7 linked regions of the Canis lupus familiaris genome follow. The protein of the gene in region 1 interacts with the protein of each later gene in a pairwise test. Links are inferred from orthologs where the notes say so. Each region holds a gene or a part of one and is shown on either strand. Other genes may lie near its edges.

What was found.
Region 2: the proteins of PNMA1 (region 1) and ATP5PO interact in binary tests that used the Homo sapiens proteins (3 or more experiments, as listed by UniProt). The two-hybrid records come from large-scale screens. The link is inferred for Canis lupus familiaris from reciprocal best matches to the Homo sapiens genes PNMA1 and ATP5PO.
Region 3: the proteins of PNMA1 (region 1) and SPATC1L interact in binary tests that used the Homo sapiens proteins (3 or more experiments, as listed by UniProt). The two-hybrid records come from large-scale screens. The link is inferred for Canis lupus familiaris from reciprocal best matches to the Homo sapiens genes PNMA1 and SPATC1L.
Region 4: the proteins of PNMA1 (region 1) and MAB21L2 interact in binary tests that used the Homo sapiens proteins (3 or more experiments, as listed by UniProt). The two-hybrid records come from large-scale screens. The link is inferred for Canis lupus familiaris from reciprocal best matches to the Homo sapiens genes PNMA1 and MAB21L2.
Region 5: the proteins of PNMA1 (region 1) and METTL17 interact in binary tests that used the Homo sapiens proteins (3 or more experiments, as listed by UniProt). The link is inferred for Canis lupus familiaris from reciprocal best matches to the Homo sapiens genes PNMA1 and METTL17.
Region 6: the proteins of PNMA1 (region 1) and SUV39H2 interact in binary tests that used the Homo sapiens proteins (3 or more experiments, as listed by UniProt). The two-hybrid records come from large-scale screens. The link is inferred for Canis lupus familiaris from reciprocal best matches to the Homo sapiens genes PNMA1 and SUV39H2.
Region 7: the proteins of PNMA1 (region 1) and SEMA4C interact in binary tests that used the Homo sapiens proteins (3 or more experiments, as listed by UniProt). The two-hybrid records come from large-scale screens. The link is inferred for Canis lupus familiaris from reciprocal best matches to the Homo sapiens genes PNMA1 and SEMA4C.

Annotation. Positions count from the first base shown.
Region 1 is NC_049229.1:47,276,422-47,280,786, forward strand, and holds PNMA1 (paraneoplastic antigen Ma1), read right to left. Parts: upstream 2,640-4,365; 5' UTR 2,386-2,639; coding exon 1,324-2,385; 3' UTR 514-1,323; downstream 1-513.
Region 2 is NC_049252.1:29,060,687-29,064,506, reverse strand, and holds part of ATP5PO (ATP synthase subunit O, mitochondrial), read left to right. Parts: intron 1-120; coding exon 121-231; intron 232-2,569; coding exon 2,570-2,699; intron 2,700-3,820. UniProt on the Homo sapiens protein: Subunit OSCP, of the mitochondrial membrane ATP synthase complex (F(1)F(0) ATP synthase or Complex V) that produces ATP from ADP in the presence of a proton gradient across the membrane which is generated by electron transport complexes of the respiratory chain.
Region 3 is NC_049252.1:39,448,436-39,451,261, forward strand, and holds the end of SPATC1L (speriolin-like protein), read right to left. Parts: intron 1,682-2,826; coding exon 1,458-1,681; intron 1,123-1,457; coding exon 799-1,122; 3' UTR 768-798; downstream 1-767.
Region 4 is NC_049236.1:48,899,643-48,904,052, reverse strand, and holds MAB21L2 (protein mab-21-like 2), read right to left. Parts: upstream 2,994-4,410; 5' UTR 1,949-2,993; coding exon 869-1,948; 3' UTR 252-868; downstream 1-251. UniProt on the Homo sapiens protein: Required for several aspects of embryonic development including normal development of the eye.
Region 5 is NC_049236.1:18,222,310-18,225,975, reverse strand, and holds the end of METTL17 (methyltransferase-like protein 17, mitochondrial), read right to left. Parts: coding exon 3,575-3,666; intron 3,223-3,574; coding exon 3,152-3,222; intron 2,958-3,151; coding exon 2,850-2,957; intron 2,581-2,849; coding exon 2,512-2,580; intron 1,873-2,511; coding exon 1,822-1,872; intron 1,583-1,821; coding exon 1,490-1,582; intron 1,259-1,489; coding exon 1,071-1,258; intron 997-1,070; coding exon 873-996; 3' UTR 748-872; downstream 1-747. UniProt on the Homo sapiens protein: Mitochondrial ribosome (mitoribosome) assembly factor. Binds at the interface of the head and body domains of the mitochondrial small ribosomal subunit (mt-SSU), occluding the mRNA channel and preventing compaction of the head domain towards the body.
Region 6 is NC_049223.1:20,696,054-20,699,873, reverse strand, and holds part of SUV39H2 (histone-lysine N-methyltransferase SUV39H2), read left to right. Parts: intron 1-1,088; exon of another isoform or gene 1,089-1,172; coding exon of another isoform or gene 1,173-1,187; intron 1,188-2,031; coding exon 2,032-2,703; intron 2,704-3,820. UniProt on the Homo sapiens protein: Histone methyltransferase that specifically trimethylates 'Lys-9' of histone H3 using monomethylated H3 'Lys-9' as substrate.
Region 7 is NC_049231.1:46,161,344-46,165,911, reverse strand, and holds the start of SEMA4C (semaphorin-4C), read right to left. Parts: upstream 3,017-4,568; 5' UTR 2,508-3,016; exon of another isoform or gene 2,466-2,507; intron 2,208-2,465; exon of another isoform or gene 2,146-2,207; intron 1,822-2,145; exon of another isoform or gene 1,741-1,821; intron 1-1,740.

The sequences.
Region 1 (4,365 bases):
AAAAAATAATCCAGGTTTTTATTTTTTTTATGATAGTCACAGAGAGAGAGATAGAGAGAGGCAGAGACACAGGCAGAGGGAGAAGCAGGCTCCATGCACCAGGAGCCCGACGTGGGATTCGATCCCGGGTCTCCAGGATCCCGCCCTGGGCCAAAGGCAGGCGCCAAACCGCTGCGCCACCCAGGGATCCCTGAAAAGGGATTTGAAAGGGGAGAAAAAGCATTACTAGATAACATCCTGAGCCCCATTTCAGGATTTCCTAACTTTTTATAGTAAGTTAATATTGACTTAGGTCTGTTCAGCCTTCTAATATTTGCCTTGTAGAAAACATGCAAAAATTGAATACATTGAAAGGTTCTGTAATTCAAACTCAAATAGTATGCTATAAGGTTAAAGATACAGTAACTGAAGTTATATTTTTTTTAAGTGACACCAGGAAATCTTCCTAAGAGAATAAATATAGAGCTTAATTACACTGAAATTTTATATATGTGTCAGAAAAAAAAGACAATAGAATTTTTTAAATACTTTTATTCATATACATGTATTTTGACAACTTCAAATTTAGAACACTTAGAATCAGCATGAACAAGAACTACCATTCAATGACAAGGATTTGAAATGGGGGAATAGATACTGTAACTGGTTCTTATTAATCTCCCCATGCAACAAGACACTCCCTGTGTCTTGTACACAGAAAAATTGATTCACACAATTCTAGAATTGCAGTATTTTTCTAACATCCCATTCCATAGTCTCAGAATACTTTTCAATTAAAGTGATCCAGATGTTTCGAGATGAAAAATAAAACAATTTGCTTTGTAAGGCTGAATAAATAGTATGAGTCACATTTCTTTCCATTAATATAAATTAGGGAAAAAACTTAGGAACAATTTACTGTAAACACAAAAACTATTCACAATATTAGTAACAACGGCTCATATTTTTACCGAACACTTCCTGTGTTTGCCAGGCCCCACGCTAAAACATCTGAACATGCAATTTCACAATTATCTCAATGAGAAGTGTCAGGGATTCACATGGTTTTTACAACGGATGATTGCCACAATGACAGCTGGCACTGAGCACTTGTGTACAAGTCTTTACCTGGCATTGCAGCGAGTACGACTCACTTGTAGCAGCTCAGGGTGCTCATTTGCGCGATTGTACTAATGTTACATGAATACTCAGGCCTGACTCCCTACCCCCACCCCCAAAACAGCACATGGCGGAAGTCTTTACCACTAGGGACACATCTGTAAGAGCACGGAGACAAGGTAAGCGGCTGCGATCTAGATGTGCACTGTCGCCGTTTCCTGGGCCTCAGAAGTGCCCCTCCAAGCCTAACTGCAGGAGGGCGGCCTCCGCCTCCTCCTCCTCCTCCTTGGCCTCCTCCTCGCGGATCTGCACCAGCAACTGGAAGAGGTTAGGGGCAGGCCCTTCCGCGGCCCCGGTCAGCCACAGCTGCCTCCGGATGGCCCCGCTGTGGTTGGCCCCGGCAATGACCTGCTCCAGGCGGGCCTGGTTCACGTTATCTTTATCTATGGCCCCCTTCTCCACCACCTTCTGCAGAAGAGGCTCCAGACGAATGACATACGCAGATAACTTTTCTCCCGGGTTCTGGTAAGTGTTCAGAAATCTGACCTGCGCATCCCTAGAGCTCTCGACGCTCCCAAACACCTGCTCAAGCGCCTTCAGGCATTCGGCAGTGGTTATCGCAGGGTTGTTCGTCTTGAGGATGCGGATGACATCAGCGGCGGGGCCCCGAAGACTCTCCATCAACCGCCGCCTCTTTTCTACATCAGACACCTGCCACTCCTCTATGACCTCATTAGTGTGTTCCAGCCAGGGATCAAAGGTCTCCTCCCCAGGCCCCGGGATGTCCCTCCCCGAGAACAGCGTCAACTTCTTGTACCATATGGACTCAACAAGAGGCTGAATAACGTTATCTAAAATATAGTTTAGCATCTCTGCTGGCATATCTGGACCCGGGGCCGGAGTGGGGTTCTGAAACCCAAGGACGCGGGCAACATCTTGCACGGTCCACCCCTCTCTCGCTAGGAAGAGGTGCAACCTTTCTAAAAATTCAGCATCGGAAGTCGGGGGTTTAAAGACCACTTTCCAGACACCTCCTTTACCCGGCATCTCCCTGGGGATCGCGGCGTAATCGACAGCGCCAGTGAGCTCTAACAAGGCTGCTTTCGCATTCTCTTCCCTCCAAAACATCCTCCCAAGCACTCGATAGGGCACCTGGGGCATCGCAGCCTGGAGGGTCTCCTCGATTTCAGCCTCATCACAGTTCACTGGGATCCCCCAGACCAGCAGGGCTCTCTGGGAGTTCACATCCATCCCCCGGCACCAGTCTTCCAACAGCGTCATCGCCATTTCCCCAACTAGCGAGGGCCCCGATTCTACAAAGACGGATTAGGCTGTGGCTCCCTGCGCTCTAGGGCTCAGCGCGGCAGCAGACACCCCCCCACCCCCGTAGGCGCGAGGGAGGCAAGCTTGACGCAATCACAATTAACAAACGACACCAGAGTCCTGCCCTCTTCCTTCGCGGCCCCCAAAGGCAGTCCGCCGGCTGGTCCCCGGAGCCAAGCCCCGGGAGGCTCGGGCAGTCGCCTCACGCGTCCGCCGCCACCGGCGTCCTCAGTCGGGGCCCGCGGCCCGGGTCCCCCACCTGCAGCCGGGGGTCGCGTCCCGTCGCAGCGCAGGAGGCGGGCAGCGAGCGCGGCTGGCGAGGGCTGCGCCGCGGGGCCGGAGGCGCCCGGGTGTGGTCGCGGGGCGTGGCCGCCTCCTCCCGGCAGCCGGGCGCCGGCACTCGGGGCTCCCCTCGGAGGCGATCCCGGCGTCCGCGGCCGGAGCCCGGCCTCCAGTCGGCCGAGGAGCGGCTGCTCTGCAGACGAGGGCTGTGCGGTCCCCGGAGGCAGAGCCTGTTCTGAGGTCGCGGCGGTGGCTGCCACGCCAGCCCGCCAGCGGCTTCTTTGCAGACGCAGGGATGGCTCCGGGCGGTGAGGGCGGCTGAGGACCGAGCACACGGGCGGCGGAGGCGCCGAAGGACGGGGAAGCGGGGCCACAGGCGGCGGCGGCGCGCAGGCTGCGGCGGGCTGCGGCGGTGTGGCGCAGCGGGGCCGCCGGGGTCCCACCGCAGCCCGCGGAGGCGTTACTGCCGCAGTGCGGGGCGGGGCCGGCTGCGGAGCCGCTTCCTCCGCGCCCCGCCCCCGAGCGTAGCCATGGCAACGGCGGCCCGGACTCCCGCCCGCTCCGCGCGCTCCCGGGGTTGGGGCTGGGGGCGGGGTGGGGCGGTTGCAGAGGCGCTGGCCTGACGCTCCGGACACTGCTCTCTTTGGTGGCGCATTTCCTTTTTCACATTTTCCAGTTTTTATTTCATTTCTTAAAAAAGATTTTATTTATTCGTGAGAGACACAGAAAGAGAGGCAGTGACACAGGCAGAGGGAGAAGCAGGCTCCACGCAGGGAGCCCGACGCGGGACTCAATCCTGGCACTCGAGGAGCACACCCTGGGCCGAAGGCAGGCGCCAAACCGCTGAGCCACCCGGGCTGCCCTTTATTTCATTTTTTAAAAAAGATTTTATTTATTCATGAGGGGTGGGCAGAGACAGAGGCGGAGGGAGAAGCAGGTTCCCTGCAGGGAGCCCCATGCGGGGCTCTATCCCAGGACCCCAGGATCCTGACCTGAGCCAAAGGCAGGAGGTCAAACACTGAGCCACCCAGGTGCCCTTAAAAAAAATTTTTTTTTTTTTTTTTAACAAAGCACCTTGTTTAAAAGATAATATAATTCTGGAGTGGAGTTAAGGCTGCAAATGCCTCCGTCACTGGTCTTCCGCTGGGTAGGAAAATACGGTCTTTAGCACCGCAGCTTCCCTGTCCCACCTGATTGCATTCTGCACCCTCCATACATCCCCTCAAACTAACACGTTGGAAGCGTGCCGTGTTCATATTTTTGTGTGAGACACTGAGTTGAGACTTTTTCTTGTCTAAAGTTTTGTAAAAAAAAAAAAAAAAAACCCGTATCTAGTCAATAATCCGTAGCCAGGCAAAACGCTAGTGTGTTATTTTTCCTGTCCTGGTATCGAGAAAGAGCTGACAAAAGAGAATCCTCCTTGTGGTTCAAAAATGTCAAGCAACCCCCTGCAAGCAAAACAGGGCCTACTTAACGTCAATCCCAGATGGTGAAAATCTTCCCCAAAAGAACACAGCATTCAACTCTGAATTTTTAAAACCTTATTTAATAAAAGGTTTAAAGATACAGAAGAACATTCAAAAGTAAATAAGTTACATAGGTACATTACAATCACATCCGCAAGATTTACTTTAGTGTGTTATTTTTTCTTTTTTATAAAAA
Region 2 (3,820 bases), on another chromosome or scaffold:
TGTGTGCTATAAATGATGTCATTTTTTAATATAAATGTTAAATCCTTCTGTTGGCAGTATGATATTGTCTTAACTGATTTTCCTTTCCTCTTCCTTCTCTACTCCATCCATTTTTTAAAGCCACCTGTTCAGATATATGGTATCGAAGGTCGCTATGCCACTGCCCTTTATTCTGCTGCATCGAAACAGAATAAACTGGAACAAGTAGAAAAGGAATTGTTGAGAGTAGCAGTAAGTAGTTTTTTGTTCATTACTTACTAAATTTCGATCATATGTTTTTTGTTTTGGTTATTTGGCCGTGTAGCCCTAATGAGACATATCCTGAGAGAAAATGAACTATAAAAAAAGAAAAAACCCGAAATCATGTTGATAGTGATAGTAGTGGGTATTAATATTTTGAACCTATTGTGTGGTAGGTACAGGCAGATACATACCAGGATATTAATATTAGGAACCAAGACTTGGGGCTTAGAGGAGAAATAGAAGTCACCTTTGAAAATCTGTGTTTGTATTTCAGGTATTTTCAAAATAGTTTTTAGAATGTATTATAACGTGCCTTACTAGGAATTTCTTTTCCTTTTGAAGCCTTTCCTCAGTTTCAATTTTTATTTTATTCCCAAGATGTGAGAGGAAAATGACCAAGCACAGCATGCTGGGCAGCAAAATTAGGAAAGTCATATGGGCTCTGTAATGATAATAGAGAACTGATAAAGATAATGAAGCTTACAAGGGAGTCCATTTTAACATTTTTTTTAACATAAAGAGTAAAATAATTGAATTAACCGAAGTCTACTATGTAACTTAAAGGGGAAAATCTGCTGTAATTTTAACTCCATTTTCTAGTTAACAGGTTCCTGCCCATTTTGTTTACAGCAGAAATTCTCTCTCTCTTTTTTTTTTCCCAAAGATTTTATTTATTCATGAGAGACACAGAGAGAGAGGCAGAGATACAGGCAGAGGGAGAAGCAGGCTCCACGCAGGAAGCCTGATGTGGGACTTAATCCTAGGACTTAAGGATCACACCCTGAGCCGAAGGCAGACGCTCAACCATTGAGCCACCCAGGCATCCTGAAATTCTCCTCTTTGAGTTCTAGATTGAAGGTGGAGTCTATACCCTCTCCCAAGAAAGTTTTGCTCTTTTTTGGTATTATGCTTTCAGAAGTTCTTGTATTTTTAATCCACTTATTTCTAAAGATTTTTTTATCTTACTGTTCAGAAGAGAAAACCCTCACAGGCTAGTCACATAGGATGATACTTGTTCATTTTTCATTGTAAGCTTTTTTATCAGAACTTTTGTCCTAGTGGATAACATTAGCTCTGTATTCCTTTATGTCTGCAGATGATGCTTGCGGTCTTAGTTGGCATGATCCACACAGAGCAGGCAGGCTCACACACAGCTCTTTTGGAGCTGATACTTACTGCCCGCTCTTGTCATTTATGCCCATTTTAAACGTGAACAGCAGTGTTCACAGTAGAGAGCGTGACCTGGGTTGTGGTTCTTAGAATGGGGTTTGACTAAAACCTGGAAATCGGTTAAGATACAGAGAGATAGAAAGGAAGCAATTACCTGAAGTCTCTATAAAAAATTAGCAGTTTTTTAGAACTGAGAGGAAAGTGTTAATGCTACACAGATGCCACTACAAAGCTTTCCCACTGGATGATGGAGCAGAAAAAAACTAGAAACATGAAATACTGGATTCCCCAAACACCAGAATGCTTTTAATTTTTGTAAGTCAGCAATTTTTAGGGGAAAGTGTTGTTTTTATGGAGTCACTTAAATTGAAATTTTAGCCCTAGATGCTAGTATGTGACAAGTAGCCTGGATTAGACTCACAGTTCTGGCCAGGAGCCTGAGAAAAGGGACTGCCAGGGGTATTTAATTGAACGAAAGGTGCCCGGATGGAAACAGCCATTGGTTCATTGAACTCTGGCCTGATACAGAGGGGAACAGGGTACCAGAAGTTACCTTGGGTCACTGAAAACAGACATTTATGAATTAACAAAATAGAGACCCATGCTGTCACTCCTGGTAGCCACCTCCCATCCCAGAATGGCTGAGGCTTCTCTGGAAACACCAGAGGTCTCTCACGGGGCCCTGTAAGAGACAGGGCAGGGGCAGGACCAGGCTGAGACATAGAGGCCCCCTCCCAGGGCATGACAAGGAGGCCTCCTTTGCCATCAGAGCACCTTTTTAGGTCTGCACATGAGTGTTAGCATCACTAGCCTTCTCGTAGTTTGTGAAAATCTAGAGGATTACCCATATTAAATACGTTAACAATATGCAGTTAATTGACTATTTTGGCTGCTTAATTTTTTAATAATCTCTTGAAAAGCAAAAATAGACTTAAGAAACCTTACAAAGTGTTTTTAAATTTTTTCAAGAAATATATGAGATAAAGGTAGAAAGTATTCTCAAAGGCAATGAAAAGTACTTGATTGTAAACTTCTCTTCATAAGTGCTTGAGTGCTAATTAACGAAATACGTGATTCATGCGAAAGAAGTATGTTGTGGCAGCTAGGATCATTTATGCTTTAAGGAGTTTACGAAATTATTTTTTGGTACTTTCAGCAAATCTTGAAGGAACCTAAAATGGCTGCTTCCATTATGAATCCCTACATAAAGCGTTCCGTGAAAGTGAAAAGCCTAAATGACATGACAGCAAAAGAGAGGTTCTCTCCTATCACATCCAACCTGATCAGTAAGTATTAGACCTTTTCCACTGAAGCTGCTGGAAATCTTGCTATTGGAAATGTCCAAGGATCAGGAGCATCAGCATTACCTGCCTTTTGGCAGTGAAGCGTCTCAGGACTTAGCCAACCTGCTAAGTCGGAATCTTCATCTTAACTAGCTCCCCAGGTGAATTGTTTGTGCATTAAAGTTTGAGGAGCACTGTCTGAAGGATGTTAGGATGTAAGAAGATAATTACAGTCAGTACCTTCACCCTATGGAGAAGACCGGTGGGATTCATACCCAGAAAATGGTTTGCAGCCAGGGCTGTACCTCTGTCCTTGAAGACAGGTGGATTCTTTGGTGCATTTGGCTTGACTTTGAAGTCCTGTGGTCAGCCAGAATACGGGCTCCAAAGCAAACCATCTTTGAATATAGATATATGTTAATTTGGGGATTTGTAGCCAAACACTGGAATCTAACCAGAAATAGGAGAATCAGACCACAGGCTGTGATGAAGATGCCTGTTGCAGATCTCTGAGACCTCCCCCTACACCCGCCTTACTGATATAAATGCCTGTCAGTGCTGGTTCTTTTAAACATTGGATATACTTTTTTTTTTTTTTTTTAAGATTCTATTTATTTATTCATGAGACACAAAGAGGGGGCAGAGACACAGGCAGAGGGAGAGGCAGGCCCCATGCAGGGAGCCCAATGCGGAACTCGATCCCAGGTCTCCAGGATCACGCCCTGGGCTGAAGGCAGGAGCCAAACCACTGAGCCACCCAGGCTGCCCTGGATATACTTTTTAAACAACAACAAGTTGTATCTCCTTTGTATTCACATTCTTTTTTTTTTTCTTTTTTTTTTAAGATTTTATTTATTTGTTCATGAGCGACACAGAGAGAGAGAGAGAGAGAGGGGCAGAGACACAGGCAAAGGGAGAAGCAGGCTCCATGCAAGGAGCCCGATGTGGGACTCGATCCCAGGGCTCCAGGATCACGCCCTGGGCCGAAGGCAGGCACTCAACCGCTGAGCCACCCAGGCGTCCCGTTTATTCACATTTTTAAAGGATATTGAATATAGTATTTTAAGGCCACAAATCTAAATTTGCTTTAGAGGTGAATATAATACCTTATGGATAACCTGTTT
Region 3 (2,826 bases), on another chromosome or scaffold:
CTCTGGGACACAGGAGGCTGTGACAGGGACAGGTGACCCAGAAACCCCAATACTTTCACACCCACAGCAGGGACGGGACCGGGGACCATCCACTCAGCCAAGGCCCAGGAGGGGGCCAGCGCCAGGCTGTGGGCCCAGGGGGTCACTTGTCTTGGAGATCTCAGGAGACACGGGGACCTGACGGCTCCAGCATGGGGGGAGGGGGCGTGTCAGATCATCCCTGGGTTAAGCAGGTTCCCCGGAATCCACACAGCCCCGGGCGCCCTCCTCTCTGTCCCCTACGCTGCTGTCCCCATGCAATTCCCACGTCGGAACAAGGGACCTGTGTTTTCATTTTGCCCCAGCTCTGCGGGGCCTACAGCCGCCCTGCCCGCACGGAACCCTCGCCTCAGGCTCTGCATTTGGGGAAACCAGCCGCAGGCTCCTTGCGGCCGGAGTGGAGTCCTCGAGGCCTGGCCGGGCGGGTGCCCCGTTGGCTGGAGGCCCGGGAGCTGTGCCCCTCGAGGCTGGGTCGCGGCTCAGCCCCGGGATCCCGCGGGCACCTCCCCGCGCTCTCCACCCCTCAAAGAGCCAAGGGAAAGGGAAACAGGAAACGGATGGTTTTAATACAGTGACTCGATGGTGCCGCGGGTGTGGGCGGCCGGGCCGGGCCGGGCCGGGCCGGGCCAGGGGCCGAGGGGGCGCCTGCTGGGGCCGGGCGGGCCGGGGCGCTCCTGGGCGGCCGCGGGAGGGGCGCAGGCGACCCGCTCCAGCCCCGCCCGCCCCGCCCGCCCCGCAGGGAGGCTCGCTGCGGGCGGCTCACCAGGCGAAGAGCGGCTTGCGGTCGTCCTTGGCGAGCTCGCACAGGCAGCTGAGCAGCAGCAGCGAGTCGCCCAGGAACTTGGGGGGCAGCACGTCGATGAGCAGCTTGCGCAGCGCGGCCGGGCTGCGGGGGGGGCTGGCGCGCAGGTCGGGCCGCTGCCGCAGGATGCCGTAGGTGTTGATGAGGAACTCGCTGAACTCCGGGTGCACGTCGCGGTTGTAGCCCAGCCTCTCCAGGCGCGCCGTGAGCGCCGCGTAGCGCTGGGTCAGCTCCCGCAGCCGCGTCTGGTCCACCGACCCGTCCAGGGACTTGGTGCACGTCTGCGGGGGCGGCTCCGTGGGCGGCGGCCCTCCCCTGCCCACCCCCTGCCCACCCCCTGCGGCGCGGCCCGGGCGCTGGGACCCCGGGTCACCCGAGGCCTCCCCGCCGCAGAGGGCAGGTGGGGGGAGGGGGGACCCCTAGAGCTGTGTGGGCAGCACGGGGTGGGGCCTCCGGGAGGGAGGGGCCTGGGGAGGGGCTCAGGGGAGGGAGGGACCCCGGGGAGGGAGGGGGCTCCCGGGGAGGGAGGGTCCCGGGGGGGAGGGAGGGACCCCAGGGCGCGGGAGGGCCCCAGCGGAGGGAGGGACCCGGCAGGGAGGCGGCGGCAGGGGCGCACCTGCTTGATCTTCTCGGGGATGTTGGACACGGTGAAGCCGTACAGGCGGGTCAGCCCCGGGAACACGTAGGCCAGGATGCGCCGGTCCAGCTGGAAGGCGATCTCCCCGACGATGCGCCCGTCCTTCTGGGCGCCGCAGCAGCCCTGGATCTCTGTGAGGAGCGGCGGGGCAGGCCGGCGCAGGACAAGGACAGTCAGGGGCCAAGCCTCCTCCTGCCGCACCCCTGGATCCGTTTGGGGGAACAACTGAAGTAATCGCGCCCGGGTTTGGGGTGAAGCGCTGGGGCCCGGCCCCCCCCCCACCGCGGAGGGCCCCGGCCGCCCCCAAGCCGGAGGGTAACAGCAGGGGAAGGAGAGCTGGACCCTCCTGCGGTCCCAGGGCAGCGACCCCTGTCCCCTCGCCCCAGGCAGCCTGACCACCTGTGGTCCGGGGTCGTCGCCACCCACCCCACCCCCGTCCTCTGAGACCAAGGGAAATGCCTTTAAAACTTGTTTCTCAGCCCAGGAGTGTTTGTCTTGTCCCCCCAGAACCTGCTTCCAGACCTGCTGCAGCCCCGTCCCTCAGTCAGCAGACCCTTCCCACGCTCCTGGCCCCATGCGTGTGACCCCGAGACCCCGGCGAGCACAGCCGCATCCCCGCCGCCCAGAGCCTCCGCCCGACACCTCCCTCTGCTCCTGCCGGGCTTTCATCCCCACGAGGAGCCCAGGGCTTGTCCAGCCACCAGACCAACCCTACAGGTGACGCCTGGTGCAGCCTGCGGGCTCCACCCCAAGGGCAGGGGCGCACCCACGGGTGGGTCCCATGACCACACACAGGACACCCCACACGGGCACCTGAGCCCTGAGAGCGGCAGGACCCCAGGACCAGCCTTGGCCGTGGCCGTGGGCAGGTGGTTGCCCTCCTCGGCCCCATCCTGTGCCCGGGTCCCCTTAACCATCCAGCCAAGACAGCCTCCAGGGCGCTCACACGGCGCCGCCAGTGGGTGACCACAGGGGCTCATCAGCCCTTTCAGGACAGGCTGCTGCCAGGTGGCCACTGGTGACCCCAGAGGACAGGCCCCCGAGGACGGACCCTGAGGACGGCCCCCAAGGACAGGGCCCCGAGGACAGACCCCCGAGGACAGGGCCCCAAGGACGGGCCCCAAGGACAGACCCCCGAGGACAGACCCTGAGGATGGCCCCCGAGGACAGGGCCCTGAGGACAGGCCCCGAAGATAGGCCCCTGAGGACAGGGTCAGGATGCAACTGCCTCAGCCGTGCACCCCCAGACGCCGAGAGGGGAGCATCCGCGGACAGGGCCCATGGGCGTCAGGGGAGGTGGCTCTGCGGTGGGGACAGGGAGGGGCTGCAAGGGTGTGGACAGCCCGGC
Region 4 (4,410 bases), on another chromosome or scaffold:
TTCAAAATTTACAGAACAAATAAAATATTATAGCCGAGTAAAATTAATACTTTCTCTTTTCCAAATATGGGGGGGGGGACTTGTATGCTTAAATTGGCAAAAAAATTAAAAAAAAAGGACTATATTTGTAAGTTTTGCAAATTAGAGTTCCAGTGAAAGCTTTGCATTTAGTTCCTGAAGTTCACATCTTTACATTGTAAATTATAAATTGTGATCTCCCCTGCCTTCATTTAAGAACAATCCACAGTCAATTACAATGTAAAGTAATATTTTTATTACTGTTTTCAACAAGACTGCTTAGGGTGAGGGTAGAGGTGCAAGAAAGGGAGGGGCACAATCTGACATTGGCACTGAGATACATTTAACATCAGCAAAACTTTTTTTAAAAGAGAAATTTTACATATAATTAAATACTTTTTCTCACTTGGTGACAACATTCAGGCAACCCAAAACAAAATGAAATGAGAGGGAGAGGGAGAGGGAAAGAAAGAAGATGAGAGAGGAGAAAGGAGAAAGGGAGCGAAGGAAAAGAGGAGAAACTACTATACATTGATTTGAAAATGTACCTTGGGTTTCATTTTGTGGTGGCAAAGCCCGATTGCTTCTTTTGTGTGACCTTTTAAATTCACATTGTTTGGAAGAAAAACGATCACTTTTGTGCAAGAATGTGATTTATTTTGGTTGGTTGGTCTGCTCTCTTTTTGTTTGCTTGTTAATTAACGAAGGTCTTGTGCCTGCTTCCTGTTTCTTTCAGGTGGCTTACATAAAAGTTTGTGTCCGGAGTTTCTGCTGTTGGTCGCTGAGTTGTGTGTGTTGTGTGTTAGAGAGCATTCCGGTCTGTGTCGCTTTTCAAGCAGTCCCCAGCACCCTATAGTTTGTCCAGGCTTTTGGGATTGGTGAGAATTTCCCTGGCCAACCTCCAGGTCTGCTTGGCAGCGCTCTCCAGGGCCGAATGGGGCTTGCCCTGGAAGAGGTCGAGGTTGGGCAGAAAGTAGTGAGGGCAGCGGCGGCACTGCAGGCAGGAGATGAGCTGCAGCAGGATGCCGTTGAGCCGATCGCCTAGGCACGCCTCGTCCCAGTCCGTCTCCCGCGGGTGTTTCTCGCACTCGTACAGCAGCAGCGTCTTCATGTGGTAGTTATTGAGCGGCTGGCCTGGCAGCTCCAGGTGGCGGTCCCGCAGCGTCTTCAGCACCGACAGACACTTGTTTCGGCAGCCGCCCATCAGCAGGCGGTTCTCCGCCTCCCCGAACTGTAGCACCCAGGCATCGCTCTCCGCAGAGCTCTGCTTGCCGGTCAGGGAGTAGCACTCCTTGGACAGCAAGTTGAACCCTTCGGCCTTGACCTCCGCCACCCGATTGGGGCCAGGCCAGGGGATGTGGGGCATAGGCCACTGTGCCGCGCTGCGAGGCCAGATACCGGTGCACTTGAACGCGGGAGTGATCTGCACCACGTAGCGCTCCCTGATGCGCAACTTGACCTCGCTGGTGTCTGCGATCATCTTGACCACATCCCGGTAGCTGCACTTGTCCACCGCCTGAGCCACCAGGGTCTGGAAGCGTGAGCGGATCTTACGCGCCGAGAGGTAGCCGGACGCTGTGATGAACTCGACCCAGAGAGACATGCTCCGCTTCCGCCCATCACTCAGTTTGAGCACTGCGCAGCCGGGCAGGGAGCCGTCGTCCACGAAGTTGAAGACGCCCATCTGGTTTAGGTAGAGCACCACCTCGAATTCTGTGGGCGAGATGACCTCCAGCCCCTCGTAGCGGGCATCGATCTCGCTCAGGGAGCTGATGAAGCGAGGCTCCTGTACCTCCACTTCCTTGAGCACGTCCGAGACCACCTTACAGACCTCTCGGATGGTCTTGGCGATGGCCGCCTTGCGTGCTTGGCAGCGCTCGGTGTAGTATTTATTGAGCTGGTAAACCAGCTTGGCCTGAGCGGCGATCATGTTGGGGCACAGGTCCGGGCTGTACACCGGCGTCTCGCAGTACGTTGAGGGATCCAAGGCTCACGCAGTGGTGGTGGCCCTGCGGCTGGCGAAAGAGGCGTCGCGCTTCCCCTGAGCCCCACTTTCACTCTTGTTTTCCACCTGGACTGACCGGCTGCTGCGACAGCCGCCTTGCTTTTTCTTTCCCCTCTTTAGAAACCTTTTTTCTTTTCCCGAAATAAGGGGGAATGGCAATCTTTGAAGAAGAAAAGTACCTGCTGGGACCTTTTTGCTTGATATGTAAAATAAAGATGTGCTGTGAGAGAGATGAAGGGGAGGGGGGAGGAGAGGGGCCGAGAGAAAAATTCAGGTTACCAAGAGGTTAGGCTTAGATGTCTACAGCCGAGATGGCCCAGAAATCTGGAAATGAGGTCTTTTAAGTGCCAAAGTAAATTTAAAAATAAAAGCGAAACATTCAGTGTTTCATTCTTAAACTTCTCTCCCACGCTGGTACGACTTCTTCACTCAGCGTAGGTGAGTGCCTTTCTCCTCACCCTCCCCCAAATGGAAGGTGAAGGCCGTAATTAAGGTCCTGAGAGCAGCGACGTGCAGCTCTGTCCGAGGCACACTTGGAGGTTTGCAGACGCCCCGCGCTCTCAGCTTGACGGTCTGCTCTCTTCTCAGGGGGTCGTGTTGTAGCGGTTTTCCTCTTTTCCTACTGGAGGCGTTGTTTGGACTGGGTTTGTTTGTTTGCAGTGGTTGCTTCTTGTCTTTCTCTAGGTGCAAACCGCTGGAAGTTGTTTGATATTCATTTCTGCTTCGTAATTTATAATTTTGGCCCTCACAGAATCTATTCTAGTGTGACGAAGTCGTTGCTTGCGTTGCATCTGGGGTTTAGTTATAAGGATTCAAGGGTTTTTCTTCTCCTCCCCCTTTAGGTTGCTTGTGCAGATTCCACTTTCTGAGTCGTCTCTCCCTCCTCCCCTCCGACGTCTCTCTCCTTTTCCCTCGCCCTCCCTCTTTTTCTCTCTCCTCCCTCCTTTTCTCTCTCTCTCCCTCTCTCTCCTCCTCCCCCCTCCTCCTTCTCCCCCTCCTCCTCGTCCTCCTCCTCCTCCTCCTCCTCCTCCTCCTCCTCCTCCTCCTTCTTCTTCTTCTTCTTCTTCTTCTTCTTCTTCTCTTCTCTCTCTCTCTCTCTCTCTCTCTCTCTCTCTCTCTCTCTCTCTCTCTCTGCCTTGCTGTTTCCTGGAGTTATTTAGTTTATGAATGGTCCAGGGCCATCATGAGGGGGGTGGAGCTTCAGTTCCTACAATCGCTTTCCGAGCTGTCAGTGCTTTAGCCAATCCCAGAGAGAAGACAGGCATGCTTGGCAGACAGTAGCAGCCACCGCTGCACTTGATAAAGAAAGGGGGTAAGAGAGAAGTAAGAAAATAGGAGGAGATAGTAGAAGTCAAATGCTCACCCATATTTTACAGCCCCCTTCTTCTTTATCCTCTCCTCTTATCAGTTGCAAGGAAGAAAAAGAGAGTCTATATAGAAGGGACTTCCTGGAGATGGCTGGAATAACGCACGAGAGAGTAGCAGTGGTTGAGAAAGATTCACTTTTTTCCCCCCTACCAATATTGTGCAGAAGGTGCAAACTCTGACAAAACTATTTTTGCTTGAAAGCAAATAGAAGGAAGAAGGGGAATCTGGGAAAGAACCTACATTTTTTCTAGATTTTCTCCTTTGGCAAAGTCTTCCTCCCTTGTCTTCCCCTTCTTTCCCATTGTTGCCAAAAGCCAGAGCAGTATGTGTGCACCAGTTGGGCTGTGTGGTGGAGTGGATATGGGGTGAAGGTTTATGAATATAAATCTCTTTTCAGTAATTTCCATAAGCTGTTGAAAAACTGGAGCAGGGTAAAAATAGTGCAAGCACCTTGTTTGATAATTACTTCATAATTAAGATTCAGCTATATTTTATGCTATTTCTTTATTAAGAAGACTAGCTATTAGAGAGAAAATAGGTTTAAGTTCTGAGAAAGAATGCTACTCTATATATGGTAGAATATTTCTGGACATACTTTTAACATAAGCCACTAAAATTGTTTTAAACAACAAAAATGAAGAGAAGTAAAAGTAAACCCAAGTTTTCTTAAAATGTTAAATGTTGTAAATCTAATTTTGAATACACTCTGAGGCAGTACAGAGTTTCACTTGTAAAATGATTTTATTTTCATAATTGACTGTTGCTTTTAAAAGACTTCACTGCTGCAAAAATCTATAACTATCCTGTTATTGATTACACAGATGGCTTCACTCCTCCCTTGGCATTTCAGTGAAACTCATGCATGTGCTTTTAGTATATGTGTTATACTTTCAAGCTGTACCCCTTGTAGCCTTTCCCTACTTTTGGATGAAAGAAGCTGTACCAGTGTTTCTGATTTGCTTAGTATTGAGGGTTTATGTTTGAATCTCAGGTGTCTGGATACTGAGTCTTTTTAAGAC
Region 5 (3,666 bases), on another chromosome or scaffold:
TAACCCAAGTCTATTCTGTAATAAAGTGCTGAAGTCCACGCACTTTGCCACACGCCGTACGGGACGTGAGAAGCAGAGTGGCTGTGTACCAGCCCTCCTGGCACTGCCGCCTGGGAGCCGTAGCTGCACAGCATCACCAGAGACCACCGTACCCGACTGCCAAGCCGACAAAAGACTGGGTTCTACTGGATGCGCCTCACTTTCATCTCATCTTAAGGTTGAAAAGTTTGAAAATCAAGCCATGATAGGTCGGGACTGTGTCCTGGGGGAGAGAGGCTGAGATTTTAGGGCGAAGAAAACTGCTCTAGCCCTGAAACAGTGAGGCTGAGTGAAAAACTGAGAGACGACCCAAGCAAACCGAAGGGTCCTGCCTGGATCTATGGGGGTAGAGATGGAAAACTCAGGCTCCGTGGCGATCAGCTCTTGAGGAAACTGGGCTGGGGAGCTGACGAACCCTGAGAAAGATAGAAGGAAAAGGGAAGAAACCACAGGCTGGGCAGCCTGGCTCCCCTTCTTAGTGGCCCCCTAACAACCCGATGCCCACTGGGCCGGTGCCCGGAGACTGGGGGCAGCTTTCCCTACCAGCCCCACCACTTCCCCGGGAGTCCTGGTCTCTGGTAGAGGCAGCAGCACTCTTACTGGAGAAGGTGGGCTTGGGGTCCGTGTGGGAGCGTGGGCACTGAACACCTGTCATAGGATAGGCCGTGACGACTGGGCCCTGGACCTTTTAAGAATCATGAGATCCATTTCTACGCTTTGAAAACTTTATTATTATTAAAACCTCTAAAGCGAGAACACACAGGGCTACCAGCGCTCCCACCCTGGATGCCAGGTAGCTTCAGCCTTGGCAGGCCTAAGGAAGAAAACACTTGTTACGCATCCTTGTCGACCCTCAGGGGGTCTTCAGCAGGGGACGGGGGCAGCTCCGACTCTGACGGTGTGATCACGGGTAGAAGATCTCCCCAGGAGCTGACGCGAGCACAGCGATACAAATCCCTATAGTAAAGAGAGGTCAGTGTGGGCTGCAGGGTCCTGCCAGCTGTCCCCAACTTTGGTTACAGCCTTGGTACCTGCCATGCTGGCGGGCTGTGATCACAGCGTGCTGCATGTGCCCATCTGGACAGCACAGGTGACAGTGCACGTGGCGTGGCCGTTTAAGGACAGGCTGAGTGAGACGCGGCCATCGAGGAGCTTCCTCTGGACGCCCCCGGGCAAGAATTACCATCGAGAACTTCTCCTCTTTTTGCTTCTTCTTGTTCTGAGATAAAAATATAGAGACGATTTGAAGGGAAAAGAGATGGGAAATAAAATCATGACCCCCCCTCCCCGAGTCCCTGCAGCCCTTTTCATACTCTGTAAGCCATGCACACCCAGGCCCCCAAACCTCCAGGCTCTTCGCTGACTTCCCCAGCTCTGCCTGCCTCGTACTCTTTATCATCTGCCCCCTCGGACTATTTTCTCTCTGCTGTAGGGTTCTCCGGATACATACCCAGCTGAAGGGGATGCAGTGGTAAGCCTGAGAAAAGCTACAGGCCAGAGGTTTAGAGGCTGCCAACTGGGGACAAGGAAGTTCATGTGGACACTGTGAACACGGAAAAGAACCAGAGAATCATACAACTGAAAACTCAGAGTGGCAGAGTTAAGCAGGGTGAGGGAGATGGGGGCACAGGAACCAGGGGCAGGGAGAGCGGGGAACAACCAAGACCGAGACTGGATGGGGACACAAGACAGCAGAGACTGGCTCAGCTTCACCCTCTCACTTTTCCTGGCCACAGCGGAGTTCAGGTCTTTGCGTGACGGAACGGCAGAGACAACACTCACCGGGGCAAAGACAAAGCCAGGTCGAGGGTCCAGAGGTGACTTCTCCTTCCCCTGAAATAAAAAAAATCAGGCTGGGTCTGAGGGGTGTATTCTTGTAACTCCGCGTCTGTACTCAGTAAACGGAGGCCTCCTTTAACGTTCAATTCTGATAATGACTAACTAGGCTCCTTGAGTTAAGCTGGCTGCTTCTCTAATACTCCAAACAAAGGACTTTTTCTTTGCAGGAGGAGTAAAGCAGGGACTTGGCACGTAACGTGGTGCTCTCCCTTGTCAGCAACCTCTACTTGCAGAAAGGTCCCATTGCAGGACAATTCAATTCACGATCATCCACTGGCTCACACCATCCCCAGAAGATAAGGTTCTTGGCTTAGCAATGCCCTGAGTCAGGGGTCCGCGCACTTTTTCTTTTTTTAAAGGCCCAGGGAGTAGACAAAATCAGTTTCTGTGCTGACTTGTCAACTCCACTCTTCGCAGGCCACATGGCACATACGAAGATGGGTGAGAGGCCAGATGTGCCCGCAGGCCCTGGTTGGCTAGTCACCCCCCTGCACCGTAAGGAGTGCGCGTGCTAACACCCTGAGCGTTACCCCACCACTGCAGGACTCTGAGCAGTGAGGCTCTTCGACTCGCAAGGGAGTAGGGCTAACTGGCGAGATGGTGGCGCAGGAGTGAAAGGAGAAAGAATCCTACCTTGAGGACCAGGTCCCTGGCATCCATGAGAAGGCAGTGGCCAGCTTTTGTTCCATTCTCTACCAATATCTGCTCACCAAAAAGGAGAATAAGCATAAGCCCTGAATTACACGAGGACACAAATGCTAGCAGCTCCGTGGGAACTTCGCCGAGGGAGTCGAGGGCCCTAAAGGAAAGGGCCATCCCCACAGCAGGTGGGGCTGCAGAGCCTAAAAGGGGGACGAACACACCTACGCTTGAGAACAACGGTCAAGTTCCAACGGAGACAAGAGAGAAGGAAACGCGTGAGATCCGTGAGGCTGCTTTACAACTTGAAGGGCAGAGGAATTTCAACTCACCAGAAAGTGACCTGTCTTGCGCCACAGGGTTTGGATGGTCTCAGTGCGGTCAGCCTTGCTGGGCAGTTCACTTAGGGAGAAGGCCGACACCACCACATCGAACTGGACCTGAGAACCAGACGCGGCGCATGATGGACCTGACACTCCCCCGGCCTGGCCCTTCCGGGAGCGTCACAAACTTCCCTCCCCTCGTATTTGTTCTCTTCTATCTTCTAACACTCCAGGCTGGGTTGCAAAACTGAAATCACAGTTTTCCATCTGCCAAATTCCACATTTAAGATTCTCTGAAGGTCGTCACTTGCCTTGGGTGACACAGGGAGAAACTGCCTGAAGAAGACACCTGGAACGTGAGGCTCCCCGGACGCTGAGCCACCTGTGGAGTGAAGCAGAGGCGTGGCAGCGGTGAGTGCGTAGGTATAAAATGATGTCTCGGCAAGAAACACGCCCCCAAGGATGAAGGACGCCACTAGGGAAGGGCGAGATGCAAAAGGGTAAGCAAACTTGCAAAGGGCTGGGGAGACTGGGTCAGCTGTCCTTTCAATCCTACCCGACCCATCCACGGCCCAGCAAAGGCCTCCACCACCCTCTGCTCAGCTGTGAGCTCGCAGGAAATCAGACTCCTCTTCAGCTTTTAGCCCCCCTCCACTCCCCGGTAAAACACCCTTTCCAGTTCCTGCTCAACTCCTCCAACTTCACAAGAGCCCTTCCTTATCCTTTGTCCTCACCTCTCAGTAGCTTTTCTGCCAAATCCAACATAGCAGCTGAGCTGTCCACACACATATACTCACGGAGGCTCTGGCCCCAAGCACTGTGAGCG
Region 6 (3,820 bases), on another chromosome or scaffold:
TACAAAATTTAGTCACTAATAATGCAGCTGGCTCATAATTAAACAATACATACTACTTTGGAAGCTGACTTCAGAGGCCTGGTGTTACTAGTTCTGCTGAATGATAATTTAGCTTAATCATTTGATTTGAAGCCAGTGTTATTGTTTCTTTCATTATTTGCTGACAACTTTTGGCATAATCCAGGGTTATGATAGGAAAAACTGTTGTAGACAAAAAAGAGGACTAGAGTTGAATTGCTTTATTCCCAAGTCAGAAAAATTAAAAACTTCCTTAGCTAAGAAGTAGAATAGATATGTTAGATACTGCCACTTGGATCACATTATTGTTGAGCCAGATATCTACTAATGTAAATCCTAAATTGTAGTAACCGGACAGGAGGAAGAAATCTGTGTTACTTTAGTCAGCCAGTTTAACACTTAAATATGTGACTAAGCTTTTCCTTTTTTTCCACTGAAATCACAATATGTATTTCCACAAAAGTACAATTTTTGTGCATATCTTCACACCTTAATTTAACCATATTTTTTAATAGGTAATGCATATTTTGACTGTTTTTGATAAAGAATAGTTCTTTTAATTCACAAGCAGTATTGCTTATTGAGTAGACTATACTGAAACATTGAGATTCATCGGTGGAGAGAAAATAAAACTTACTGGCTAAGTGACTTCAGCAAAGCTGCCTCAGGGTACCTCCCCCTAATTTGTGCCTCAGCAACATTTCTCAAGTCTTCCAGGTTATTTGGCATTAATAAATTATGAATAGTAGAACAAGTGTGATGCTCATCCTTACTTTATAATAAAAACTTTGTTAAAAATTTTAGGGAAAAGCAAATGTATCCCAGTTAAGGTTTTAATCTATATCTGATTTAAAATAACTAAAAACTGTAGAATACAGTTTAATCACTTTTATATTTTAGAATGTGGATATATGTTATTCCAGACGACAAAGAAAAAATTGAAGGGCTTTAGAATTTTTTTATTTTATTACACACTTGACTACATTTTTAAAGAGAAACTTACTTAACATGGAATTCCCTGATTTTAAGGGAGGAGAACCTCAGTGACTCACTGGGGTAGGAAGGCAAAATTCTAGTTACCATGGTGGCCACAACAGCAGTCAGAGGGATAAATCAAAATGTTTGCTCTTTGGTAGCTGCTACCTAATCCATTCATGCGTGAGTCTAAAGTAAGAATTCTCTGGAATAGTTATGTCCAATAGAAACAATATAAGCTACATATATGTAATTTTAAATTTTCTAGTAATCACATTAAACAAGTGAAATGAAACCAGTGAGATTGCTTTCAGTAATATTTTTAATTAGGGGCACCTGGCTGGCTCAGTCGGTAGAGTATGTGACTCTTAATCTTGGGATTGTGAGTTTGAGCCCCACATTGCTCATAGAGATGATTTTAAATTAAAAAAAAAAAAGATATTTCACCCAATAAAAGCAAAATATTTCAGTAATCAGTACTTTTCAAATGTTGAATATGTTATTTTTTTGTTTATTGTTTGAACTCAATGTATATTGTACTTAAAGCACATCTCAATTTCAACTAGCCAGATTTAAGGTGCTCAGTAGCTACATGGCAGCTAGGAATGTTTGTATTGAACATTGTGTTTCTAGAACATCTAAGGGCTGTGTGCCCCATGATATAGAGAAGTAGAACTTGCCTTATATCCAATGTAAAATATTAAAATTCCCTACTTAGAGGATGCCTACATCTGTGCTGGTCATGTCAAGTACTAACGTAGGTCATAAATTGTTAGTTTTGAGACTACCTGTTTCCATGATCAAGATAAATACCATTGAATTTCAGTACTCTTATCTCCGAGGTGCAATTCTTTACCTGTGTTCAAACATACTAAACTAAATTCTGTACATATTTTATGTAGTATAAAGAAAACCTCTGACTCAGTGTATTCTGAACTTTATTAAGGAGAATGATAATGGCTACCTTACCCTTCAAGATATTATTTTAAGTAATTAGGACTGTCATAATCTGATTGCAATTTTCTTTTATATTTTAAGGATATGGAATATTATCTTGTAAAATGGAAAGGATGGCCAGATTCTACAAATACTTGGGAACCTTTGCAAAATCTCAAGTGCCCATTACTACTTCAGCAGTTCTCTAATGACAAGCATAATTATTTATCTCAGGTAAAGAAAGGCAAAGCAATATCTCTAAAAGACAATAACAAAGCTCTGAAACCTGCCATTGCTGAATACATTGTAAAGAAGGCTAAACAGAGGATAGCTCTGCAGAGATGGCAAGATGAACTCAACAGAAGAAAGAATCATAAAGGAATGATTTTTGTTGAAAATACTGTTGACTTAGAGGGCCCACCTTCAGACTTCTACTATATTAATGAATACAAACCAGCTCCTGGAATCAGCTTAGTCAATGAAGCTACCTTTGGTTGTTCATGTACAGATTGCTTCTTTGAGAAATGTTGTCCTGCTGAAGCTGGAGTTCTTTTGGCTTATAATAAAAACCAGCAAATTAAAATCCCACCTGGTACCCCCATTTATGAATGCAACTCGAGGTGTCAATGTGGACCCGATTGTCCCAATAGGATTGTACAAAAAGGCACCCAGTATTCACTTTGCATCTTTCGAACTAGTAATGGCTGTGGCTGGGGTGTAAAAACCCTTGTGAAGATTAAAAGAATGAGTTTTGTCATGGAATATGTTGGAGAGGTATGTTCAACTTAAATAATGGGTGTGGGAGGTTTATGCTTTTTTTTTTTACCTTAGTAACAAATATTGGTACAATTTTATATTACTATTTGCAAGTGTGTAAAAATCTCGGGTTTGAGAGAAGGGTTCACTGGCATAATTAGAAATACAGACTTGTATATGAACAAAAATAGATATAATGACAAACAGTCCTCTTTCAAAAGCACCCATTCCAAAAAAAAAACAAAACCAAAAAACCCACACATAGTCATTGAAATTGTAAAATATGGCAACTATTTTACACAAAAGTCCTAAGAAAAAAATCAGATCTACACACATGCTAACTTTAGAAACGTTTAGATTATAATCCATCCATTTGACTAAATATGGTTAAGTGTAGTTGGCCAAATTCAGTATTGTATCAACATGAGAGATACTGTAGACAAATGTTTTCCGTACAAATGTAAAATATACCTAAGAGCATTTATTGCATCCACAAGAAAATCCAAATTCTTTGTAGCTCAGAGACTATTCTCTAAATTACCAAAGACTGAGCTAATTTATTTTTATACATATAATTTGAATATATGAAAAAGTAGTATTTAGCATGTACCACATACTATTCTAAGTACCTTTTGTTTTAACTCATTAATCGTCTCAATAACTCTGGGGTAGTAGTATTATCTCCATTACTATAGATGAGGAAACAGGCATAGAGAATTCAACTTGAGCAAGGTCACGTTGAAGTGAAGAGGAGCCAGGATTCAAAACCAAGGCTCCAAAATGAGTGCACTTTTCCCCTATGCTACACTTCCTCAAACTGAGTGAAGGATTACGCTGACTGGAAAATAAAAGTGTGACTGTGTATCTCAGTTTGTCACATCTGACATTTTAAAGTTATGTGGAATTAGGTCACATATAATTATCTGTATTCATCTAGAATTCTGAGATTGGAAGTATTTCAAGCCTTCAGTATTGAGACAAGGACAGATTATTGTAAATCTCTATTAGGGATACTAGATCTTGTATAATCAGATTTGTAAATCTGGTTGACACCGACAATCACTTTAGATGTTTTTGGTTTAACTCAGGCATCTGGTAAAGCTATGTTCTTAGAACAGAACTGTACACGAGAGTT
Region 7 (4,568 bases), on another chromosome or scaffold:
ACCTCTGGCCTCCAGGCCCTCTCCCACTCCCTCTCAACAGGAAGTTGTTTAAGAAAATTAAAAGGGGACCCCTTCCCCCACTCAGGCCTGACAGATTTGAGGATTTCTTAAAATAACCTCTGGAAGCAGGACCTGCCCCCAGTGGGGCTCCAGCCGGCCCCAAGATCTACTTCTGTCACGAAAGCCCCTTGGCAGGGTGAAGGGGCATAGGGTGGGTGGGTGGGTGGTTGCAGAAGGCCCCCACCGCCCCCAGGGAGCGGCCTTGATGCATCAGGCTGTGGGGTGCGGGCCCCGGCCTCTCCCCTCCCCCAGCGCAGACAATAGCCCGGCAGAGCCCCAAACCCGGCTTCCACATCAGCAGGGCTGAAGTGGGGCCGGAGCCGAAGGGGCCCAGCTTCCCGAGGCCCCTTTGTTGCCCAAGAAGGGAGGCAGGAAGTGGGTGGGATGGGCGTGGAAATGACCAGGGCCTCATCCTGTTCCCCGCACAGCCTCCTAGGAGACACTAGCCCTCCGGCTTTGGGGCGCGGGACGACAGCCGGCTCGGGTCTAATCAGGGATCTCCCGCGACGCTCTCAGGCGGGGGCGGGGGAGTCGAGGCGCGTGCGGGGCGCGAGGAGGGCTCCTCTCGGACCGCGGGGGACGCCCAGGGCAGGGCCGCCTGCTGCGCTACCCGCGGGGCTGCCCAATCTTCCCAACTCAGGCACTGCGCCCCGGGACCCGGCCTGGGCCAACCATCCGGATTAATTTCCACTGCCCCGGCCTTCCAGTGCCGGGTACGGAGGCACAGAAGCTGGGGACCTGCTCGCCCCAAAACAAAGGGTCCCCGCCAAGACCTGGTCCTCGGCCACCCCCCACCCCCAGGTTCTCCCCTCCCCCAGCTCCCGGGATTTGAATGCAAACAAAGCGGCGGCGCTGGGAGCGTGGCGAGCCCGGCCTGCGGACGCCCCCTGTCGGCCCAGTACCCCTAGCTCTGGAAGGGCGGGGGGCTGGGGGTACGTTCACCCCTCCCCCCTCCGGCCCCCCAACACGCCCCCAGGCCTCCCTTGCCCCTTACCCTAGCCCGGGGCCGGGCCCGGGCCCCGCGGCGCGCTCCGAGACGCGACCAGCACGGCGGCGCCCCCACCCCCAGCTCCTCCCGGGGCGGGGAAGCAGGGGCCGCGGGCGGGGAGGGGGCCGCAGGAGCGCGGGGCCCGGGCGCGGCGCCCCCCACCCTCGCCACCCGGAGCGGCTGCAGCGCGAGCGCTCCCGCCGGGGACCGGGCGGCCGGGCGTGGGTCGGGAGCTTGGCTCTCCGGGACAGCCCGCCTCCCCGGCGGGGCGCGCGGGGGGCGGGGGGCCGCGGCAGGGAAACCCGATCCACAACATCGGCCACGGTCCAAGCCCGCCCCAAACTTTCCGTCGGGGGTGGGGGAGCCGGGGGCAGTTCGGGGGCCCGGAGAGGATCCCGGCCGCCGGCCCGACAGCACGGGGTCCCCTCTCCCCTTCGCCCCGCTGTCCCTGGCCAGTCCGCGCCTCCGGACGCTACGGCTGCGGGCGCTGCCTCCCGGCTCCCGACCCCCGCCAGGCAGCTCGCGGGGGGCGCAGGAGGGATCCCGGGCGGACTGCCGTCCCCGCCGCCACCCGCGCCTGCGCCCCCGGACCCTGTCCTCCGCGCGGGCGGCCGCCCCTGCCCGAGTCGGGGACAAAGCGGCGGCCCCGGAGCCCCGGCGCTCCCGCCCCGCGCAAGCCCGGCCTCACTCACCTCTTCTGCGCGGCTTGAATCCCTGGGCGCCGCCCTCGCGTTCGGCTCGGATCGCGGTCCGCCCCCACGCGCGCCGCCGCCCGCCCGCCCGCCCGCGCGCGCCCGCCCGCCCTCCTTCGCTGTCCCCTCCGCCCCCGCCCCTCGGTCCCGGCTCGGCTCGGCGCCCCTGGGCTCGGGCTCCCCGCGCCACCGCGCCACCGCGCCACCGCGCCGGGCGCCGGCTCTTTCTCCGGCGCTGCCGCCGCTCTCCGCCCCCTGCCCCTGACGTCAGGCGCGGGGGGGCGTCAGCCGAGGCCGGGGGCGGGACGCAAAGGCCAGCGCCGGAGGGGGCTGCGACCCGCCGCGACCCGCGGGGCCCCCGGCTCCCCTCCCGCGCGCTCCGACCCCCGCCCCTGCCCGCGCCCCGCCGCCCCGCCGCCCCGCCGCCCCGCGCCTCGGAGTCGCCGTCTGCGCCACAGCGCGCGGAGGTGGGGCGGGGGAGGGACCCCGGGCACTGCCTTGGGGGTTCGGACTCACCCGGCCCTTCCGAGGAGTCCAGCGCCCCCCGCAAGGCCACCCGCGGGCCGGGCGCCTGGGCTCGGGAATGGGGCCGAGGAGCGCCCACGCTGCGGTCACAGGAACCAACGCGGGCAAGCCACCTCGGGGCGAGTATCCCAGGGAGGGGAGCGGGGGAAACCGAGGCTCTTCTTTGGGGCGGACCAGAGTGGTTTCTCTTTTGACCCCAGGGCCCCCCCGGCTCCCCGCAGTCACGCTGGAACGAGTCTTACCAGCCGGGAAGACCCACTTATCTCCGGGGAGTCTGCCCCTCGGTCTTCATGCTCCACACCGAGGGACAGCGGCGCGCTTGCCCGGCTCCCGGTGAAGACGATCCTCCGGGAGACTCCTGTTGCACGGAGCCTGCCCCCAAGAAACGACTCCTTCTGATGCCACCGGAAGGCTGAACAACAAGTGACAGGAGCTTGAGCTCTCCTGTTCAGATGAAAGCGGCTGAGGGGAAGCCGAGCTGGAGAACTCCCACCTCTAGAAGCGCCTGCCCCCGCCCACAGCAGCTCCTAGAAGTCACTTGTGGCTCTGGCCTCCTTCCCTGGGCGGTGCTGGAGTGGACCTTGCCAGCTGGTCCTCGGAGCTGGGCAGGTGGACAAACCCCAGGGAAGCCGCCCCATCGGCACCCAGTCACAGATGCCTCCTCTTGGCTAGGGGCAAATGACAGAGGTAGAGAGACTGGAGCCCCGAGGCTTTGGTGGTAACTTTAAGCGAGAGCAGTCCTAGAGGGGAGGAACAGTGTAGAGCCCCGTCAGCAGATCTGGATTATAAATCAGTCCCGACAGGAGCTTTTGTTCTGAGTTAAAACTTGGCATCTGAAAATGGAGACCAGAAGAGTAGTGGAGATAATTGGGAAAAGCAGCCCAGTTTGGATTCAGTAACAATCGGGTCTTTGCTGGTACGCATAAAGGCCCCTTCTCCCCCACTGGCCAAAGCCACATTTCCCAGCTCCTTTCCACCAGGGGAAAAAAAAAAAAAAAAAAAAAAAAGCTGTGGTCTTGGAGATGCTGGAGATAGAGGGCAAGCCAAGTTAACAGCATGGGATGGGCAGGGAAGGTTCTGTGCTTCAGCTGGCCGGGAGGGAGATGTGTTTGACTCCTCTTCCAGGTTAGATGCTGTGATTAAGTGGAGGTAGACTGATAGGCAAATATCCTTCACATTTGTTCTGGGCTTTAGACTTTGCAACACACATTTCCTCACATCATCCTCATGACGACTCTTCAACAGGCAGCTACTGTTTCTCTGATGTTAGAGATAAAATGAGTCTCTGGAGGGTTTAGCAACCTGCTCAAAGTCACATAGATAATTAGCAAGATCAGAATGTTAAATCAGGTCTTGGGACTCCCAGTTCTATCCTTCCACGAAGTCAGAGTGCATCTGGACAGCTTTTAAGCTCCAAACAGCATGTCTCCTGCGGCTTTTCTCACCTCTGCTCCCACCCCCACCAGGCAGAGACTTGAGCTCCTGGCTCCATCTGCAAGATGGCCCCAGTGGAAAGTTTGAAAGGTGGTTTGGTTTCACTGGCAGGTACAGTCTTCTGGACGTTATGGCGGGCTTCTCCATCACTGCCCTTCCCTCCCCAGTGCTCCTCCAAGATAAGGCTGCAGCTCCCCCCCAACCCCCTGTTCTACCTGCACTCATTTCCTGCCGGGTTCTGTTCATTTCCAGCGCTGGCCTTTTCCATGGGTGGGTGGACAGAGGATAAAGTTTCCTGCATGACTACTTGCTCATGATTCATACTTTTTAATAAAAGCACAACTGGTCAAAAAAGAGGATTCCTGGGTTTTAGATTAAGAAGGGGGAACAAAAGAAGTCTCCTGTACCTGTCGTGTACTCCCTACTGCCTGTCTGGCATATTCTATTTAAAATACCTATGCCTCAGGCCTTAGACCCTGACAGACCCTCCTGCTCACCTGCTTGCAGCCAAGTTAAGGAAAGACCTAGATATGCTAAATGCCTTCTAAGGTTCTCTAAAGATCTGCTGGCAGCTCAGCAGAGGCCAGTCCCTATAGATGGGCCCAGGAGTCTTATCTGAAAAGCAAGCCCCCGCCCCTTCCCCCACTTATGTGCCATGGTGTCCCTCCTTTGAGCTCCTTACCCCTAGCTCTTGAGAGGCAGCTCTCAGACCGGGTGGAGCCCAGGATTCACACTGAGTTTCTCCAGTCAGCACTGCCTGGCTGACTTACAAAGGATCCAGGAGCTGCTGTCAACCCACAGAGGGGGAAATGAGAAAGCCCGGGTCAGCCACCCTGCAGGGATCTTTCTGAGGGCCTGGGGACCGAGGT